Arabidopsis thaliana: one gene and its partners. The protein of the gene in region 1 interacts with the protein of each later gene in a pairwise test. Each region holds a gene or a part of one and is shown in the gene's direction. Other genes may lie near its edges.

Evidence for each region.
Region 2: the proteins of RIN4 (region 1) and RPM1 interact in a two-hybrid assay, tested with the Arabidopsis thaliana proteins (2 studies listed by BioGRID).
Region 3: the proteins of RIN4 (region 1) and NDR1 interact in a two-hybrid assay, tested with the Arabidopsis thaliana proteins (one study listed by BioGRID).
Region 4: the proteins of RIN4 (region 1) and HA1 interact in a two-hybrid assay, tested with the Arabidopsis thaliana proteins (one study listed by BioGRID).

The regions. Positions count from the first base shown.
Region 1 is NC_003074.8:9,130,122-9,134,591, forward strand, and holds RIN4 (RPM1 interacting protein 4), read left to right. Parts: upstream 1-2,016; 5' UTR 2,017-2,336; coding exon of another isoform or gene 2,337-2,342; 5' UTR 2,343-2,769; coding exon 2,770-3,231; intron 3,232-3,309; coding exon 3,310-3,492; intron 3,493-3,596; coding exon 3,597-3,626; 3' UTR 3,627-3,967; downstream 3,968-4,470. Other genes in the region: AT3G25060 (Tetratricopeptide repeat (TPR)-like superfamily protein), read left to right, coding at 1-200.
Region 2 is NC_003074.8:2,225,325-2,231,401, reverse strand, and holds RPM1 (NB-ARC domain-containing disease resistance protein), read left to right. Parts: upstream 1-1,846; 5' UTR 1,847-2,377; coding exon 2,378-5,158; 3' UTR 5,159-5,547; downstream 5,548-6,077. Other genes in the region: NSN1 (GTP-binding family protein), read left to right, coding at 1-83, 182-396, 491-755, 868-1,047, 1,149-1,360, 1,456-1,800.
Region 3 is NC_003074.8:7,192,982-7,196,285, forward strand, and holds NDR1 (Late embryogenesis abundant (LEA) hydroxyproline-rich glycoprotein family), read left to right. Parts: upstream 1-1,789; 5' UTR 1,790-1,895; coding exon 1,896-2,555; 3' UTR 2,556-2,788; downstream 2,789-3,304.
Region 4 is NC_003071.7:8,219,567-8,227,549, forward strand, and holds the start of HA1 (H[+]-ATPase 1), read left to right. Parts: upstream 1-1,947; 5' UTR 1,948-2,291; coding exon 2,292-2,333; intron 2,334-2,586; exon of another isoform or gene 2,587-3,611; coding exon 3,612-3,731; intron 3,732-3,824; coding exon 3,825-4,061; intron 4,062-4,145; coding exon 4,146-4,907; intron 4,908-5,002; coding exon 5,003-5,125; intron 5,126-5,203; coding exon 5,204-5,308; intron 5,309-5,399; coding exon 5,400-5,544; intron 5,545-5,633; coding exon 5,634-5,798; intron 5,799-5,890; coding exon 5,891-6,129; intron 6,130-6,223; coding exon 6,224-6,256; intron 6,257-6,346; coding exon 6,347-6,428; intron 6,429-6,515; coding exon 6,516-6,676; intron 6,677-6,805; coding exon 6,806-6,979; intron 6,980-7,063; coding exon 7,064-7,246; intron 7,247-7,332; coding exon 7,333-7,514; intron 7,515-7,605; coding exon 7,606-7,702; 3' UTR 7,703-7,983. UniProt on the Arabidopsis thaliana protein: The plasma membrane H(+) ATPase of plants and fungi generates a proton gradient that drives the active transport of nutrients by H(+)-symport. The resulting external acidification and/or internal alkinization may mediate growth responses.

The DNA.
Region 1 (4,470 bases):
GGAAAGAAGTGGCCAAAGTGAGGAAGTTGATGAGAAATGGGGCCATGGAGAAGGTACCAGGCTACAGCGCGATCGAAGTAAATGGGGAGCTTCGAACTTTTCTCATGGAAGATCTGAGTCACCATGAACATTATCACATGTTGCAAGTGTTGAGGAACTTGAAAACTGAGATAAGAGATGTATGTTCCGGAGTCGAATAGTTCTGTCTCTATGAGCATCCATTCTTATTTCAGTATGTATATATACATCCATTTCTGACTCATGTGGCCCTATTTTGGAGTGAGGTTTTAGTCAAAAACTCTAACAATACATTCCACGCGTTGAACAAGAAAACCAAACCGGGTCAATTTCAATTTTAGTGAGAAGAAAATACCAAGAGGTTCTTGGTCCCTTTGAGAAAAGCAGAGTACCAAAGTGCAAATTCAAGTTAATTGACAAATGTGAAAGAGACTTAAGAATTGAGACTTATTAAAGAGACTAAGAGAGTGATAAACCCCTTAAATAATGTATTGAGAAACCCTTACCTTTGTGGCTTTGTGACACTGGTTTGTATGGTTGTGGCGGACAAATTCGTTTGCGGATTGAACCATTTTATATATTATAGTCCGTAAGAGTATGGATTGAGACAAATAGAAGAAATCCGTCGTGGACCAATTTATATAAAATAAACTTGATTTGGGGTGGATTGTTGTATGTCCCAAAAATAGAGTAACGCTCCAAAACTAAATAACACCAAAAGAATTAAGAATGCACACGATCTCTTAGTTGTCTTTAGTCTTAACTAACCATATCACTTGACTACAAAAAATAAAAAGACACACTCACGTTGAGAAACTGATGAAGCTGAACGATCTGTCTTCTTTGATTTGATCTTTCTTATTTTTTCGTGAACAATCTCTAAAATATTCCCATTAAGGCATTAACCATGTGAAAACACTTGTACGTGTGGACTATATAGTTCACGTGTGTATGAGTACGGGAGCATTGAATAATTATCGCTACGGCAACCACAAATAAATTGATGTGAACAACGCTGAATACTTTCCATTTTTCAACTTTGTCTAGTAAAAAATTACTAAAATAATGTTCCAATTATGGTTTTTAGTGAACATCTTATTGTCATTGGTGATTCGATAATAGATGCTACGAGACATGTTATTTGTTCTTGGAAGAAAGAGGTACGTAAATTCTCAAAAGGGTCTTTCAGTGTAAAGAGGCAGCTTTGACTTTGCTAACACAAAAAGTCTCCATATGATTATTTTCTTTTTCTTTTCAGAAGTTAATATTCTCAATTTCTCATAAACATTTTCAATTCTTTCTTTTGTTATTGGTTGAATAATTTTGTTGAGTTTTATAAATGATGTTTTAATGTGAAAACCAAGAAACAATTGATCATTTAATTAGTTTCTTGATTAGTGTGCTAAAACCTTAAACATCAACTAAGATCAAAAAGAGATTAGGTAGTTGTGGTCAACCACCTTTGATGATAACTTTCTCATTTCTAGTTTTCTAACTATTTTGTTCATACTGCCTTTTTTTTTTCCTTGTACTCGTAGAACACTTTTTATTTACTTACTATCACTTTGTAGTACTCTTCACAAAACACTTTTAAGTTTTCTCTAAAAAAAACTATGAGTGTAAATAATAAAAGTATACGTACTAGCGTTAAATGGCGATATTTGTAAAAATAGTTATTGTACTATTTGTATCACAAAAATTGCAAGTAGTTGATTCAAATGGTAACCTATCTATAGACGAATTGGTACCAATCGTCACCAAAAGAAATTTCAGTTATTACTACTCATTAATCCGCTAAAATCCAAGATCAATAATTCACTAAATTCTGCTATAACATTGTAACATTGTTGCTATCAATAATCAAATTATTCTATTAGCATATAATTATTAGATCCACAAAACTTATCTACTAGAGCAGAAGATTCCACCAAAAGTTGCTTCCGACCCACATATCCAATTCTTTAGGACAAAAATATTTATTACAATCTTTTAAGAGGAAAACAATGTAACATGGACACCAAAATAAAGCCGCCTTTAACGGTGACGGTAACGGTAACGGCGTTTGAGTGCTCTTGACAATACATGAAAATTTAGTAATAGAGTTAAGAAATGAAATTAATAGAGTTTGGAGTGAGACAAAGAGAGAAGAGAAGATTAGAGAGAGGAGAGGAAGGGTCAAAGAATACATAGCATCACCACTAGTCAACGCTTTTATAAAACTTCTTCTTCGTCTCCTCTCCTTCTCACATCTCTCTCTGTCTTTCTCTCTCAAACCTAACAAAAGCTTCAGACTTCAATTCTTTAGCTACCTCTCTCCCATGGCAGTAAGTGTTTTCTTTCCTTCTTTCCTTCTCCTCTTCTTCTTATTTAGGTCTAGAGCTTTCTCTCAGATTATAGTTTTTGTTTCGATTCCGTCAATCTCTGACCCTTTTTTTGGAGGATTTGTAGAAAGTTGAGTCTTAATCTATTTGCATTTATGGTTCTTCCTATTGAGATAACATTTCTATGGATTGCGATGTCTATTAGTATTCAACTTTATGATTCTGATTTGCTTTAGATAAGAAAAGGGTTTTATGAAAGTTACTATTTTTATGGTAAAGTTTCTATTTTTGCTTAGCAAAGATTTCAACTTTATCATTGTACTTGGTCGAAATCGATAAACCCAATTTGTATTTGTTCTGTTTTGGATTCTTAAGTGAATTTGCTATCTTGTTTCTGTGATGATTGTTCTTTAGGATGTTATGTTATTGAATGTTTTGTGGAAGGACATTGTTGTTGAATTGTTTGTTGCAACAGCGTTCGAATGTACCAAAATTTGGAAACTGGGAAGCTGAGGAGAATGTTCCTTACACAGCTTACTTTGACAAAGCTCGTAAGACTCGAGCACCCGGTAGCAAGATCATGAACCCGAATGACCCGGAGTATAACTCTGACTCTCAATCACAAGCTCCTCCTCATCCTCCTTCTTCCAGAACCAAACCTGAGCAAGTTGACACGGTTAGAAGATCACGTGAGCATATGAGAAGCCGAGAAGAGAGCGAGTTGAAACAGTTTGGTGATGCTGGTGGTTCATCAAATGAAGCTGCTAACAAAAGACAAGGAAGAGCTTCTCAGAACAATAGTTATGACAACAAGTCACCTTTGCATAAGAATTCTTATGATGGTACTGGAAAATCTAGGCCTAAACCTACCAACCTTAGAGCTGATGAAAGTGTAAGAATCTCACTTTTAACCTCTAAAGTGAGAATATCTCTGTTTGTTGCTTATGTGTTGTCATCTGTTTATATATAGCCTGAAAAAGTCACAGTGGTGCCTAAATTCGGTGACTGGGACGAGAACAACCCGTCATCAGCTGACGGATACACGCATATCTTCAATAAAGTCCGTGAAGAGAGAAGTTCTGGAGCAAATGTGAGTGGATCTTCAAGAACGCCGACTCATCAAAGCTCCCGTAACCCGAACAACACTTCCTCAGTAAGACATTCTTTAAAACTCATTTTCAAGTATAATCATTAGTGAATACGTATTCAAATAGTGAGTGTGTGTTGAACATTGGTTTGTCTTGTGCAATTTGACAGTGTTGCTGCTTTGGCTTTGGAGGAAAATGAAAGGGACCGGAAGATTGTATATAGTTATCGAGAAATCAGTGTGTAATCTTGATGATTAGACATTCGTGCTTCTTTAGATGAAATAAGGCATAAGTCTCACTTGCATAAGATTTTTATAGTATAATTTTTGTATGTATATTTTGCAATTCTTCCTTAATACTTTTGGTGTTTTCATAAGACACATTCCAGTTTCGGATCTGCTTGCAGATGCATTATATCTTGCTTGGTACGGCCTGAGTGATTTGGTAACTGATTTGATATGAATCAGAGATATTTGGGTACCTCCAAGTTTGTTGTTTCTAATGTTCAAAGCCTTAACTCTGCACCACTATAAAGAAAGACCCATAACTTTTTATATAAAATCAAGATTAAGATCTTTGGAGGATGATGACTCGTATGGTCCATATGATATGGACATCAAAGAAGAACGAATTGACACTTGTTTCCTATATGGCTTTGTACAGTGTAATCAGGTTTGATTCTCCAGCTTTATGTACTTACTATTTCAGCATTCTCTATGCCCAATAATTAGACTTAAATGCAATCTTTTTAAACCCGACCTGGATGGTGAACTAGACTACTTTTTAGGTCACGGGGTCAATGGATCAACCGGATTCGACCACGGATCAATTGATTAAAATTTATTTAATATTATAGAAATTATTAGTTTGTATAAATATAAATATAAAAATAATTATACCATGGTCTAACAATAATAATAAAGTAATTAAATATTTAAATCTAACTAAAAGTCTAAAATAGTAACATATACTAAAATAGTAGGAGTAATGACGAAAATAAAATAATAAAACATCGCGAATTCAAAACAACTAATCTCGGTTGT
Region 2 (6,077 bases), 6.9 Mb from region 1:
TGGCACTCGTTGTACTGACATGGAGAGGATGGTGATGCAAGCCGGTCCCAATAAGCATCTTGTGTTGCTGCTGAACAAGATTGGTAAGTTCATATATTCAGTCTTTACTCGTGGACGTAATAAGTTGTTTGTTTACTCTGGGTGGTGTAATTAATTTTTGTAACTGATTCACTCTCTCCAGATCTTGTTCCCCGAGAGGCTGCTGAGAAATGGCTTATGTACCTTAGGGAAGAATTTCCAGCTGTTGCCTTCAAGTGTAGCACCCAGGAACAGAGATCAAACTTGGGTTGGAAATCATCTAAGGCATCAAAACCAAGCAATATGTTGCAGACGAGTGATTGTCTTGGAGCAGACACTCTTATCAAATTGTTGAAGAACTACTCAAGAAGTCATGAGGTTGGTTCCATAGTTTAAACTTTAATCATCCTACCTTAGCATCAAGTTATATCATTCAGTTTCAATTAAATCTTCCTTTGTTGTTCTTTGGCAGTTAAAAAAATCTATCACAGTTGGTATTATTGGACTGCCTAATGTCGGCAAGAGTAGTCTTATTAACAGTCTGAAGAGAGCGCATGTTGTCAATGTTGGTGCCACTCCTGGACTGACTAGATCTCTGCAAGAGGTTCACTTGGACAAAAACGTGAAGTTGCTGGATTGTCCTGGAGTTGTGATGTTGAAATCATCAGGAAATGATGCTTCCATAGCTCTCCGAAATTGTAAAAGAATCGAGAAGTTGGATGACCCAGTTAGTCCAGGTAATTGGATATAAGCTCAAGATAGAATCACACTTATTTTTGTGCTTTGTCTTTTAAAGGTTATAATCTGAGTGACCTAACTTGGAAATCTTCTGCTTTGTGAAAAAAATAGTGAAGGAAATTCTCAAGCTTTGTCCTAAAGATATGCTGGTGACTCTCTACAAAATCCCGAGCTTCGAGGCAGTTGATGATTTCCTTTACAAAGTCGCCACTGTAAGGGGTAAACTTAAAAAGGGTGGTCTTGTGGATATTGATGCTGCTGCCAGAATTGTTTTGCATGACTGGAATGAAGGTGCGGATCTTTTTTTGTTCCTCGTAAACTTGAAGCGTAAAAGCATTTTTGAAAACCAGTTTCTTAACTCATCATTGTCTCTAATATGAATGGTTATGCAGGTAAAATCCCATACTATACAATGCCGCCAAAGAGGGACCAGGGTGGACATGCAGAGTCAAAGATTGTGACTGAGCTGGCCAAGGATTTCAACATCGATGAGGTTTACAGTGGTGAATCCTCTTTCATTGGGAGCTTGAAGACGGTTAACGAATTCAACCCTGTTATTATTCCTTCAAATGGTCCTCTCAATTTCGATGAAACTATGATCGAGGTTGGTAACTTCTCTCGTGATTCCATTTGCTTGTAAATGACTCGGTCTGGATTTAATCTTTGTTTATGATGATGTATCACAAAAAAAAAAAACAGGATGAGTCTAAGACGCAGACGGAAGAGGAGGCTGAGCATGAGAGTGATGATGATGAGTCAATGGGAGGGGAGGAGGAGGAAGAGGCAGGAAAGACGAAGGAGAAATCAGAGACGGGGAGGCAGAACGTGAAGCTATACGCAGCGGAAAGCATGTTGAATACAAAGAAACAGAAAGCAGAGAAGAAGAAGAGGAAGAAAGCAAAGAAAGCAGGAGCTGATGAGGAGGATCTGATGGACGGAGATTATGATTTCAAAGTGGATTATAGGAAGAACAAAGATGGAGAAGACGAAGAATTCCAGATTGATGCTAAAATCCCAATGGCTGGACTTTTGCCTGAAGAATGAGTGATTGGAAACCACAACGTTTTTTTTTTTTTTTTTTTTTGTATTTGGCGTTTATGAGTCGGTCGGTTAAACTTTCTGATATATGTGCTTCATGAACTAGTAGTAATACTGAAGCGATTTTGATTTCTTTAATTAACGTTTCTTCTATTCCAATTCTGCTTTGCTTAACAAATATCTTAAGAACATTCAAAAATCATTGAGGTAAGTGTACTTCTTCGCCCTTCAGAAGAAAGTAATAATCTTTTACCCTTTCAGTTTCAGGTAACGAATGACGAAAACAACACCCGAGTTCAGTACATCAGATTTCTCTGTCTCTCTCTTGGAACTTCCAAACTCGACCATATCCGTCAAATTGAATTCCAAGTTGCAAATGTGAAAGCAGTTTAAACCCGTGTTGACTTTAACGCAAGTAAAGGACGTTGACTTTGTTGAGGTCCTTAAGGATAATTGATCAAAATGTTATGTGGCAGGCATGTAAGGTGTGAACCGAAAGCTTGGCTTTGCTCAAATTCAGCAAGTTCACCAAGAGAAACTAAATCAGTGAAGGAAAAAAGGTTCAAGCGAGACTCTGAGGAAGATGGCTTCGGCTACTGTTGATTTTGGGATCGGACGGATTCTTAGTGTCCTGGAAAACGAGACCTTGTTATTGTCAGGAGTCCATGGTGAGATTGATAAAATGAAGAAGGAGTTGCTGATCATGAAGTCCTTTCTTGAGGATACTCATAAACATGGTGGAAATGGATCCACAACAACAACAACTCAACTCTTCCAAACTTTTGTGGCAAACACGAGAGATTTGGCTTACCAAATCGAAGACATTCTCGACGAGTTTGGCTATCACATCCACGGTTATCGTAGCTGCGCCAAAATTTGGCGTGCGTTTCATTTCCCGAGGTATATGTGGGCGAGGCACTCGATAGCTCAAAAGCTAGGAATGGTTAATGTCATGATTCAATCCATTTCTGATTCCATGAAAAGGTACTATCATTCAGAAAACTACCAAGCAGCATTATTACCGCCTATTGATGATGGCGATGCAAAGTGGGTGAACAACATCAGTGAGTCATCTCTTTTCTTTAGTGAAAATAGTCTTGTAGGGATTGATGCACCCAAGGGAAAGCTCATCGGACGGCTTCTAAGTCCCGAACCTCAGCGGATTGTTGTCGCGGTGGTTGGGATGGGCGGTTCAGGGAAAACTACACTCTCAGCGAATATCTTCAAGTCTCAAAGTGTGCGGAGGCATTTTGAGTCTTACGCTTGGGTTACAATCTCGAAATCTTATGTGATTGAAGATGTGTTTAGGACCATGATCAAGGAGTTTTACAAAGAAGCAGATACACAGATTCCAGCTGAATTATACTCCTTAGGCTACAGAGAGTTGGTGGAAAAACTTGTGGAGTATTTGCAGTCGAAGAGGTACATTGTTGTGCTTGATGATGTATGGACCACTGGTCTATGGAGGGAGATAAGTATTGCTTTACCAGATGGTATTTATGGAAGTCGTGTTATGATGACTACTCGGGACATGAACGTGGCTTCTTTCCCATATGGAATTGGGAGCACAAAGCACGAGATTGAGCTCTTAAAAGAAGACGAAGCTTGGGTGCTTTTCTCCAACAAAGCTTTTCCGGCAAGTCTTGAGCAATGCAGAACGCAGAATTTGGAGCCGATAGCACGAAAATTAGTCGAGAGATGTCAGGGTTTGCCATTAGCTATTGCTTCTTTGGGAAGCATGATGTCAACCAAGAAGTTTGAATCAGAATGGAAGAAAGTCTACAGTACTTTAAACTGGGAACTGAACAACAATCATGAACTCAAGATTGTTCGAAGCATTATGTTCCTTAGCTTCAATGATTTGCCATACCCGCTTAAACGTTGTTTCTTATATTGTTCTCTTTTCCCTGTGAACTATCGGATGAAAAGAAAGAGGCTCATTAGGATGTGGATGGCACAAAGGTTTGTGGAACCGATCAGAGGAGTGAAAGCAGAAGAAGTGGCTGATAGTTACCTCAATGAACTTGTTTACAGAAATATGCTTCAAGTTATCTTGTGGAATCCTTTTGGACGACCCAAGGCGTTCAAGATGCATGACGTGATATGGGAGATTGCTCTATCTGTATCCAAACTTGAGAGGTTCTGTGATGTATATAATGATGACAGTGATGGTGATGATGCTGCAGAAACAATGGAGAATTACGGTAGTCGCCATTTATGCATTCAGAAAGAGATGACACCTGATAGTATACGTGCAACAAACCTTCACTCTCTTTTGGTTTGCTCTTCTGCTAAACACAAGATGGAATTACTTCCAAGTCTGAACCTTCTGAGAGCCTTAGACCTTGAAGACTCTTCCATCAGCAAGTTACCAGATTGTTTAGTAACTATGTTCAACTTAAAGTACTTGAATTTGTCCAAGACACAGGTGAAAGAACTGCCAAAAAACTTCCATAAACTCGTCAATTTGGAGACGTTGAACACAAAGCACTCCAAGATTGAGGAACTTCCTCTAGGGATGTGGAAATTGAAGAAGTTGCGATATCTCATTACTTTTCGCCGCAATGAAGGACATGATTCCAATTGGAATTATGTTTTAGGTACAAGGGTTGTTCCTAAAATCTGGCAGTTGAAGGATTTGCAAGTCATGGACTGCTTCAACGCAGAAGATGAGCTTATCAAAAATCTCGGGTGTATGACTCAGCTCACAAGAATAAGTCTTGTCATGGTTAGGAGAGAACATGGAAGAGACTTGTGCGATTCACTGAATAAGATTAAAAGAATTCGATTCTTATCTTTAACGTCGATTGATGAAGAGGAACCGTTAGAGATAGATGACCTGATCGCAACTGCAAGCATTGAGAAGCTCTTTCTTGCTGGGAAACTGGAGAGAGTACCAAGTTGGTTCAACACTCTTCAAAACCTTACCTATTTGGGTTTGCGTGGATCTCAGCTACAGGAAAACGCCATTCTCTCTATCCAAACGCTTCCTAGATTGGTATGGCTTTCATTTTACAATGCATACATGGGACCTAGGTTGCGTTTTGCACAAGGATTTCAGAATCTGAAGATTCTAGAGATAGTTCAGATGAAACATCTGACAGAAGTTGTTATAGAAGACGGTGCAATGTTTGAGCTTCAGAAGCTTTATGTCAGGGCTTGTAGAGGGTTAGAGTACGTACCAAGAGGAATTGAGAATCTTATAAATCTTCAAGAACTGCATTTGATTCATGTTTCTAATCAGTTAGTAGAACGCATTCGCGGAGAAGGGAGTGTGGACCGGTCAAGGGTTAAACACATTCCTGCGATTAAGCATTATTTCAGAACTGATAATGGCTCTTTCTATGTGAGCCTCTCATCTTAGGCGGCCAAGGCAAGCTTCATCATACAAGATACTGCACACTGTACTGTGAAAATCAGGGATGGATATTCACATAACTACTAAACGCCATGAGCTTACCAAACAGATTGATTGTCATGTGTTGTCTTTGAAAGTCAACAATCAGGTCTTCTCTTCACTCAAAGACAACATTTTTTTGCTGGTCTCATGAGTCAGTGCTAATGACTAAACAGCTCACTTCACAGCAGTTTCCACTGTTTTTTTTCGAAATTCATTTAAGTAAGATTTAATATGGTCAGCTGATTGTTCTGTAATTCTGTGTAAACATTACTTTGTTAAGACCTTAATATTGTTGACATTGTTATTTGAGTATCGGCTTCAACCAAGAAATTCCACTACCGTGTTAGTCTTCTAAATGAAAGTGGCTCATTCACAATCCCAAAAGTTAGGACCTTTACACTAATCGAAATAACCAGATACAGTTGGACTAAATACTTAATACTACTCCAAAACATTCCATTTTAAATTTCTCCTTAACTGATGGAAAAGTTTTGAAATTTTGAAAAGAAGAAAGTAAAAAAAATCTTGTTATCAACGATCCGCGGCGGTTAAAACGGAGATTATTATTGATGGATGGATATCTGGTCATTCGTGTTATCCACGTGCAACTAACGCACGTAAAAGACATACTAACCTCCCCGAAAATCGGATCCGGATCCGAAAATATCTGACCCGTTTTGAAGCGGTTTGACGAAAGACCGTTTTGGGCCTAGTCAATAGTAAAAATTAAAAACTCAAGGCTCTTTGGTGTCCCTTGGTATTACTATCGGCCTTTCCCGATGCTCTTTCTTCTTCATCTTGAAACTCGCGATTCCTTCTTCTCCTTCTAGGGTTTATTACTAAGGGTTTCTCTATCCTTAAATCTCATCTCTGTCCTTTCTTC
Region 3 (3,304 bases), 1.9 Mb from region 1:
AGGTTCGATATTTGGGGTAGTTATCTTAACTTTCAAGATCGATACTAACCAATTGAATATTGTATTGTTAACTGTGCAAAATATTTTAGTACGACTTTGCGAGTCAGTTTAGTCTGTTAAAAATTATTTTGTTTGGGTCATAAAAACTATCTATATCTTTGCATGAAACAGCACTACAGTCTACATCAGATTTATAATTTAAAAAGACGCGGTAGTATTTTAAAACATTTTGTTTCGTTTATTCATTTATTGTGAAAGTTGACATCGATTACATCAAACAATAATCTTTTCTAGATCATTTTCCTAACGAATCTATTCAGTGAACCATGTGACACAATTTACATTGGTTGGTAGTAATATAAGAATTTCACATGTGGTATATTATAAAATAATTTTAGTTTCACATAATTTTAATCAAAGAAATTTAATTTGATATGTTTAATATTAATAATGTTAAAAATATAAAATAAATATTAAAGCTTAGAGTTAATAATATTTTAAACTTTTACTATAGTTGACACTTTTAAAAATCTAATATAAACTATACCTGGTAAAACTAAATAGTTTAACTAAAAAATGAATCAAACAATATAAGAGATATTCAAAGCAGTTTAACAATATCTAGTCTTAGATTTACTCATGCGGATTCCAGAATAATTTGGATACTAGTTCTCTGTTTCAGTTCAGAGTTATTGCATTTTCATAAATAAAGCGAATATGAATTTAGTTTTATCAATCTAGTAGATTTTCAGTTTTTTATTTATCAAACAATTATTTCAGTTTCTTTTTTCAGGTTTTATCAATCTAGTAGATTTTCAGTTTTTTGTTTATCAAACAATTATTTCAGTTTCTTTTTTCAGTTTATGTTCGATAACAATGTTTTAGATATACGATAATCAAGTAGTTCGAATTACCTTGACATTTCTAGATTGAATTTTCCAAACAAAGTTTACATATATATATATATATATATATATAGCGGATTGCTCATTGCCATTGGTTGTGAAATCAAGAATTAATGTGGATGGTAAGATGTAAACTTCTTACAAAAAGTCTATTTAGGAGAACGAAAACGTGTGAAGGTCTTGTTTTCCTAAGGTTTCGTTTTGGGTCTCTTTTATTTTGTACCTTGTAATTCTCTTGGCCCTTTAGCCAACTAAGCACATTTTGGGATTGAATATATATTTAAAAAAATATATATATATATATATATATTAAGAAAATTACTTTTGAAATTTGTATTTTGATTAGTGTTGCTAATTATGGTTTAAGCATGAGAGTCCATCCAATTCGACCCGAGTCCTATATACAGTATGGTTCAGCAAAAGGGTTTGGGCCTGGCCATAGTTTTTTATGGCAACAAGCTATATGAAACCATATATAATAAATACAATTTCGTATTTTGATACAGTCAGTATGAGACTAGAAAAACTAGCCACTAGGCCACTGACCAAAAAATAAAATAAGAAAAAAACTAATCTTTATCTCACCATATTTTTAGATCTTTGAAATTCCAAAAACATAATTAGAGTTTCTCTTTCCTTAGTTTCTTGTGTAGTTTGTATGTTTCAGTAGGGTTTTTTTCCTTATTTTATGTAAATAAATGGAATAAGATTCAGTTTTCTGTTATGGGACATCCCTCGTTAATTCTTGTTTTGGTTCTTTTTGATAACCCAAAGTTTATATAGGTTTTTTTTTAATTTATCTTCTTACGTCCATTAATTTGTTTTTGTTTTGTTATGTATTTGGCTAAACGCGTGTGTGCGTGTGTGTCCTACTGAGTCGTCTCTTTTGAGTCAACTTGAAATATCAACCAATCAGCAAACCAAAATCTTATAACATCATCTTCTTCATCTTTCCGACAAAAATACCAAATTCTTGAAAACAAAAAAAAAATGAATAATCAAAATGAAGACACAGAAGGTGGTCGAAACTGTTGTACTTGCTGCTTAAGCTTCATCTTCACAGCTGGTCTCACCTCTCTTTTCTTATGGCTTAGTCTCCGTGCGGACAAACCCAAATGCTCAATCCAAAACTTTTTCATTCCTGCCCTCGGAAAAGACCCAAATTCACGAGACAATACCACTCTAAATTTCATGGTTCGTTGTGACAATCCGAATAAAGACAAAGGAATCTACTACGACGATGTCCACCTTAATTTTTCCACCATCAACACGACCAAGATCAATTCATCTGCTCTTGTCTTAGTTGGTAACTACACAGTGCCTAAGTTCTATCAAGGACACAAGAAGAAGGCCAAGAAGTGGGGTCAAGTAAAGCCGCTAAACAACCAGACGGTTTTACGAGCGGTTTTGCCTAATGGATCGGCTGTTTTCAGGTTGGATCTCAAGACTCAAGTTAGATTCAAGATTGTTTTTTGGAAAACTAAGAGGTATGGGGTTGAAGTTGGAGCTGATGTTGAAGTCAACGGTGATGGAGTTAAAGCTCAGAAGAAAGGAATTAAGATGAAGAAATCTGATTCTTCTTTTCCATTAAGAAGCTCTTTTCCGATTAGTGTTTTGATGAATTTACTCGTATTCTTTGCTATTCGTTAACTTCATTAATGGTGTTGATTTTCAGGTTTTTCATTTCTTGGTTTTGTTGATTTTGATTATTGACTATTTCATGAGTTTTGTTGTGATCCTTAGTTCCATTTTCTTCATTGCATAATTTATCCCTTATTTTTTTTGTTTTAACTATGTATTAGTTTCCATCAACAAAATTCTATTTGAAAATCATTTTATCCATTTTTTATATGTACAAGAAACAATTATATGTTGGGTTTCAAATCAAGGAACAAAGAAACATAACATATATACCACCAAAAAGAAGTACATAATTATATAACAGTGAATATAACCGTTCAAATGGGGAAAAGAAACTTATAAAAACTCCATAAATGAATAATCTAAAAGGACCATTAGTTTATGATTTTTAAGCAATTATTCCAAATAAAATTACTAAATTCTATATTTATTGCAATAACAAATAAATTTGATTACTACTCTATCACAGAATTGAAACCGTCCCTAAACCATTGATATATTTTTATAAAATTGATCGACAAATAAGTCAACAAAAATGACATGATTCATAGAAGAAGGTTGGATATTCGATAATAAAAAAATTTGGGGTTGTTATTTTTCTTGTCCGTACGACAATATCTTAACGTTCAAGTTCAATAATTAACCAACCACATATTGTAGAATATAAAGTAATTAAGTGTGCTAGATATTTAATTTAAGTATGACTTTGCCTTGAGAATAGTCGCTAGTTGTTCTATTACATATCATTTTGGTAGGGT
Region 4 (7,983 bases), on another chromosome or scaffold:
AGATCTGATTATTTGGATGTTGGTTTTATATTTCCTTGTTATAAAAACAAAGAATATGACGAATAAATTTAACTTTTTGAAATCCTAAAAAAAAAAGCATACACATTTAAATAAATACTTTTATGTATTTACCTATGAAAGTTAAATTGATTTTGTCTATCAGATACATAAATGATCAAATAATAAATGAGAAAAACCTGCCCATATGTGCCGATATATATCCAGTTGAATTAAACCATCATCTTCTTGTTTCTTTGTTTTTAAAATTCTCTTATGAAATCGATCTTTTAGATAAAATACAATCGAATTTATGGAAGCAAGAAAAAAAAATTACGTAGGGGAGGTGTATTATTGGGGGACCCAGCACGATCAAAAAGTCAATATTCATCAGCCAATTTGCTGAATAAATAAATAAATAACCTTGAAAACAATTTTTGGTTAAATTACAAAAATAATGATATCCACAAACATGTGAATTGTTCCAGCAATTGCTGACCTTGCCATGAGGCACCTTGGAAGAGCCATTGCTTCATTACAATCCTTTAAAGCCATAAATATGAGATTAGGATTACCAAAATTTCACATATAACAAATTGTTTTATATCATTACTAGCTTAATATGTGTTTTATTATAGTTTTAGATCGACGTCATCTGAATATTTTCCCCCAAACTCCTAAATTTTATAATCTGTGTCTAAACCTAATTTTATATTTCAAAACATCCCTTTTTCTGGAAGAAACTTGTCTTTTAATTTTTTTTTTTTTTTTCACACTTGTCTTTTAATTTCCTTAAGAGACCAAATCAAGTTAATTTAGTGTACTCACCACCTTTAAAACAGGTCAAGTTAATTTATTTGAACATCAGTAATAAATTTATGAACATCTCTTTTCAACATCGGTATTCTTAAATAGTGTTTTAGAATCGTCATTTTAACTTTATGTTTCACTAAACTTAGAAAATATTTAGTTTTTTTTATCTCAATTAGTAATTATCATTTAAATTTTTATTTTCTCGGTTTCTACTTCGCCACTATTATTTAACATATTATTAAACAAATTAGTATTATACGGGTTGATTTTAATTTTCCAATTACAAATTAATTAAAATTCAACTTTTTGATTGGTTGTATAATCCGAAGGAAAAATGTTTACATACGAATTGTTTTAAAAACACTTTGATTTAAAAGTCCGACCTAAACAATCAACATGAAAATTAAACTTATGAGCAAATTAGGTTGATCTAGAAAATAACTTTTGCATTTGTCTCATAGGGAATTATAAAGTTAGTATCTACACACATATATCAAATATACATGTTATATCTATATTACTCTCTCTCTCTCTCTCTCTCTCTCTCTATATATATATATATATATATATATGTATATTCACAAATCCATGTATGTATTTTAAATTTTGTTTGTTTTTTTTTTCCTTCAAAATGAGTAACTTATATAGAAGTCATTAAGATTAGCTTTGCACAACTCTTTGGGAACAAAAAAGAACCCAAATTTTAAGCATTATTCAATGTTCATATAATTATTATGTATATTATTTTTCCTTATTGATTATCAATTTTATATACACAAAAAGATATCAGTGAAGAACTTATGATTGTGCATATTTTCTGTCCATACATAACCACAATATTAATCAAAAATTTAAATTTATCTTAGATATTTTTCTTATGATAATTCAATACTGTATAATTTTTTAAAATCTATACATTACAGTTTTGTCTTTTAAATCATATTCTAATATGCATAAATATCTAGAAAAATACTAACTCCATAGAATTAAATTTCTTATGTAAGTTTAGTATATTATCCTAAATTTGTGTTAATGTTAAGATTTCTACTAAATTTGATACTCAAAAGTAAAAAGTTTCTCTTAATAGAAAAAAATAAATATAGATTCTCTTACATTACAGGATCAGAGTATAAAACCAGTTTAAGTAAACAATGTTTCAAAAAACAGTATGATATCTGAAATTTTAATTATAAAACCAAAAATCCAAAGTCAAATATACGTTTTCCAAGTGAGAAAGGACCCATAAACAATTAACAACCATTGATGATCACCAAATCATAATCAACGGTCGAAATGAATGAAAAATAAAAGTCTGAAACGGTGGAGAGTTTCGTCGTTTTGAGTGGTTATAAAAAGAGAAGGCGTATATCTCCTCTGCAACAGAAGCTCGCTTTCTCTCTCTCTCTCTCGTGTGTGTGTGTGTGATCGAGTGGTGAAACGACAGAGAGGGGCGTCGTTTTGTTGATTTCTTCTGGGTGAAGATGTCAGGTCTCGAAGATATCAAGAACGAGACCGTTGATCTGGTATTATTTCGATTCTCTTCTCGCTTAAATTCTTCGAGTTTTTAATTTCATTTTTAGTGTTTATTCATCATGCCCACAAAGTGTTCGATGATTTGCTTGAATGAGAAATAGATCTGTTTCGTTGTTGTTCCTTGCATGGTTTCACGTTTGATTCTTTTACCCTTTTTTCTTCAAATCATTTTCCGATGATTCTACTCCTTTTTTCTTTGATCGAAAACTGAATCTTAATTCCTCAAGAACCCGAAAAATCCGCAAAAAAAAAAAAAACCGATTTTTCCCCCCAATTGTATCTGCCTCATTTTCGATGATTCTATCATGGATCCTATACAAAACCCAAATCAAGATTCCAACTTTATTAATTTTGGTCTAAAATTAGGGTAAAATAACAGATGTCTTTTAAAGGTTTTAGGTATTAAGCCAAAAATAAGTAGATTTTGATACTGTTCATCAGAAAAAGTAGATCTACCCAAAAACTACACACATGTGAAACGCTGAATAAAAAGATAAGTCTTTTTAGTGGTGGAGCTAAGCTTAAGCTACGTCTCAACAAAAGTCTCTTTCACATATTTATTAAAAGAGAAAAAAATCGCAAAAAGTTTGATTTTGCTTGTGATATATAACTTTCTTTCTCTAAAAAAAATCATCTTTTTTTTGTAAAGATAACGTTTTTGATGTTAAAGCAGTTCATAATATTCTTCTATCTTCCACCCATGAAAAATACCAGAGTTTTTAATAAATTTAAGTTTTCAACTTTTTTTTAAATTGTTGTTGATGTTCGAATTTTTTTGATGTACCTTTCCGTAGTACGTTTTTTTTTTTTTTGAACTTCTTTGTCCTTTTGTAAAACATCTATCAGTAGAAGCAACTTGTGAATTCCTCTATTGTAATTGATTTTGTTTAGTGAAATTGTTTTATGACCGAAATACCCTTAACCGGACTTTGGCTTTCACGCCGGAAAGTAGCCACCTTTCATGGAGGGAATCCCGCAGGCGCGTGTGTTACACGTTCCATAACACGTGCATTGAAGTAGTAGTAGTAGTGGTGGTGGTGGTGGTGGTCCCTCTATCCTCCACTGCCAGATTCTTTTCACCTTTCATTGTCACAACTTGAGTCAACGCCACTCTTCATCTTCCGAGTCGCCGAGTTGGATCGTTTCTGACATTTGTAAAAAGATTTCAAAACTAGAAAAGTTTTTGTCTTTTTTACCCTTTTGTTCTTGTTTGATGTTTGAGTTACTATTGTTTGGGTTCTGATCAAAACTTTTGCTTTGATTCTCAGGAAAAAATTCCGATTGAGGAAGTTTTCCAGCAGCTAAAATGTACAAGGGAAGGATTGACAACGCAGGAAGGGGAAGACAGGATTGTGATATTTGGCCCCAACAAGCTCGAAGAGAAGAAGGTTTGAGTTTGACTTAGCATTGTTGTTTTATCATCATTGAAAGCTTTGGTTTTGTTTAACTCACGAGGTTGATCTTTCGTAAAAAAATATCAGGAAAGCAAAATTCTGAAGTTTCTGGGGTTCATGTGGAATCCGCTTTCATGGGTTATGGAAGCTGCAGCTCTCATGGCCATTGCTTTGGCTAATGGTGATAATCGACCTCCGGATTGGCAAGATTTTGTGGGTATTATCTGTCTGCTTGTTATCAACTCCACAATCAGTTTCATTGAAGAAAACAACGCCGGAAATGCTGCAGCTGCTCTCATGGCTGGTCTTGCTCCTAAAACCAAGGTAATATGTTGGTGGATGCTGTGACATTACTGTACAAGATATTTCGAGACTTCTAGAGAGCTTAACCTGTTTCTCTGTTTTCAGGTTCTTAGGGATGGAAAATGGAGTGAACAAGAGGCTGCTATCCTTGTCCCAGGTGATATTGTTAGCATTAAACTTGGAGACATTATCCCAGCCGATGCCCGTCTTCTTGAAGGAGATCCTTTAAAGGTTGATCAGTCTGCTCTAACTGGAGAGTCCCTTCCTGTGACCAAGCACCCTGGTCAAGAAGTTTTCTCTGGTTCAACTTGTAAACAAGGAGAAATCGAAGCGGTTGTTATAGCCACTGGAGTTCACACCTTCTTTGGTAAAGCTGCTCACCTTGTGGACAGCACTAACCAAGTTGGGCACTTCCAGAAAGTTCTTACATCCATTGGAAACTTCTGTATCTGTTCTATTGCTATTGGTATAGCGATTGAAATAGTCGTCATGTACCCTATCCAACACCGAAAGTACAGAGATGGAATTGACAATCTCTTGGTCCTCTTGATCGGTGGTATCCCCATTGCTATGCCCACGGTCTTGTCTGTGACTATGGCTATCGGGTCTCACAGGTTGTCTCAGCAAGGTGCTATCACCAAACGTATGACAGCCATTGAAGAAATGGCGGGAATGGATGTCCTTTGCAGTGACAAAACCGGGACACTAACCCTTAATAAATTGAGTGTGGATAAAAACTTGGTTGAGGTTTTCTGCAAGGGTGTGGAGAAAGATCAAGTTCTACTATTTGCAGCTATGGCTTCTAGGGTGGAGAACCAGGACGCTATTGATGCAGCCATGGTTGGAATGCTTGCTGATCCGAAAGAGGTATAACTCTAATCATTTTGAATTACTTCTTTAGTTTAGTGAAAGGTCGAGAAAACAAGTTCTTAATTTCTTATGTTTCACTTGGATTTTCATAGGCCCGAGCTGGAATCAGAGAGGTTCACTTCCTTCCATTCAACCCTGTGGATAAGAGAACTGCTTTGACTTACATCGACTCTGATGGTAACTGGCACAGAGTCAGCAAAGGTGCTCCCGAGCAGGTGATGAATCTTCAACTTTCTCCTAAAGATGTTGCGTTTTTCCTTTATTCTGTGTACTAATTCGATTCTCCCACACAGATCCTTGACCTTGCCAATGCCAGGCCTGACCTTAGGAAGAAGGTACTCTCTTGTATTGACAAGTACGCTGAGCGCGGTCTTAGGTCGTTGGCAGTAGCTCGTCAGGTACTTTTTTACAAGCAATTTTTACATTGGTCTTATTTGGGTTTTTTTTTTGGCCTGTAAATCAACTGTTTAATTGCATATTCCTTTTTAGGTGGTACCCGAGAAAACAAAAGAAAGCCCAGGTGGACCATGGGAATTTGTTGGCTTGTTGCCTCTTTTTGACCCTCCAAGACACGACAGTGCCGAAACCATTCGTAGGGCGTTGAATCTAGGTGTTAATGTGAAGATGATCACTGGTAACTATTCTTATTCATCATTTTTTTCCCATGAAATCCATGGTTATTTAGATGTTTTCCCCTAACTTGCGCTCTAACTACGTTGCCAGGTGATCAACTTGCTATTGGTAAGGAAACCGGTCGCAGGCTTGGAATGGGAACCAATATGTATCCATCTGCGGCTCTTCTCGGTACCGACAAGGACTCGAACATTGCATCCATCCCTGTTGAGGAGTTGATCGAGAAGGCTGATGGGTTTGCCGGCGTCTTTCCAGGTTATGCCTTGCTTTCAGTTTCAAACCTCATCACATGTTCATTATAAAGTTTTGTTATATTGATCCAAGGTTCTTATGGTTACTGATTGCAGAGCACAAATATGAAATTGTGAAAAAGCTGCAGGAGAGGAAGCACATTGTTGGTATGACCGGTGATGGTGTTAATGATGCACCCGCTTTGAAGAAAGCAGATATCGGTATTGCTGTGGCCGATGCTACAGATGCTGCTCGTGGTGCTTCAGATATCGTCCTCACGGAACCTGGGCTGAGTGTCATCATCAGTGCCGTTCTCACTAGCAGAGCTATCTTCCAGAGAATGAAGAACTACACCGTGCGTATTCTTAATCTCACTCTAATATATTATGCCCACCACTTGTGTTCGTTTGCGCTGGAAACTAATAATTTTAGTTTCCTGCTTGTGACAGATTTATGCAGTCTCAATCACAATCCGTATTGTGGTAAGTAGAAACCCGTTTTACAAATCTATCACTTGTTTAGCATGATTTTACTTTTTGTATACTGATCATATTGCGTTGTAACTCTTGCAGTTTGGTTTCATGCTTATTGCTTTGATATGGGAATTTGACTTCTCAGCGTTCATGGTTCTGATTATTGCCATCCTTAATGATGGTGAGCAAATAACATCCTACTTTTCTAGACAGCGTCCTCACTCGTTATCAGCTATATCTTATGGTATTATGTGTTACTACCTTTTAGGTACTATCATGACAATCTCAAAGGACAGAGTCAAGCCATCTCCCACACCTGATAGCTGGAAGCTCAAAGAAATTTTCGCCACTGGAATTGTGCTGGGAGGCTACCAAGCCATTATGAGTGTTATTTTCTTCTGGGCTGCTCACAAGACCGACTTTTTCTCGGTACATCATCAGTTTATTTTCATTTCTTTTCTCTTTTTTTTGGTACAGGTGCTTCAGGGACTATATAGATATATATGGCCAGGCCTTTTGCTCTGAGTCTTAAAAAATTGTCTCACCTTCGATTTGCAGGACAAGTTCGGTGTGAGGTCAATCAGGGACAATAACGATGAACTAATGGGTGCTGTGTATCTACAAGTTAGTATCATCAGTCAAGCTCTAATCTTTGTCACCAGGTCAAGGAGTTGGTCATTTGTCGAACGTCCTGGGGCGCTTCTGATGATTGCATTCGTCATTGCACAACTGGTAAGGACATCAAGCACACATATTTTCTGAACTTCGATTAGGTTAAAGAAACCCACTGAATTCATTCACTCCTTCCAAATGCAGGTTGCAACTTTGATCGCAGTGTATGCCGACTGGACATTTGCAAAGGTGAAGGGTATCGGTTGGGGATGGGCAGGTGTGATTTGGATTTACAGTATCGTAACATACTTCCCACAGGACATTTTGAAGTTTGCCATTCGGTATATCTTGAGTGGAAAGGCTTGGGCCAGCTTGTTTGACAACAGGGTACATACAAGTCTATCTACCACTATAGAGACCTCTTTTACAAGCTGATGGTAACATACTAATCACATCTTCTTCTATGTTAACAGACCGCTTTCACAACCAAGAAAGATTACGGTATTGGAGAAAGAGAAGCTCAATGGGCACAAGCTCAAAGGACATTGCACGGTCTGCAGCCAAAAGAAGATGTTAATATCTTCCCAGAGAAAGGAAGTTACAGAGAGCTGTCTGAGATCGCAGAGCAAGCCAAGAGAAGGGCCGAGATAGCTAGGTAAGTAGTGTGATTAAAACGAATCTCAACGGAAAGATGCCATTTGATAGAGGTTCTGATTGGTGAATGATTTAATATTATGTTGTGACAGGCTTAGGGAGCTTCACACATTGAAGGGACATGTGGAATCAGTCGCAAAGCTAAAGGGATTGGACATTGATACAGCAGGACATCACTACACTGTGTAGTTGGAGTTGCACAACAACACAAACATTTACCGAAAACCAACCCCATCATGACTCATCTTTTGTTTTGTCTTCACAAATCTCTCTTTAAAAGTCATTACAGTAGAGGGAAGAGAACTCTTGTGTATTGCCATAACTCTTCCAAAACTCTTTTTTCTTTTTGTTATTGTTAGTCATTGTTCTTAAAACTCCTACTCGATATGAGCTTTGCAAATTTGCCTTTGAAGAAACAAGGCCCTTTGCCTTTGAAGAGACAAGGCACTTTGCTTTTTAATGGCCTAATG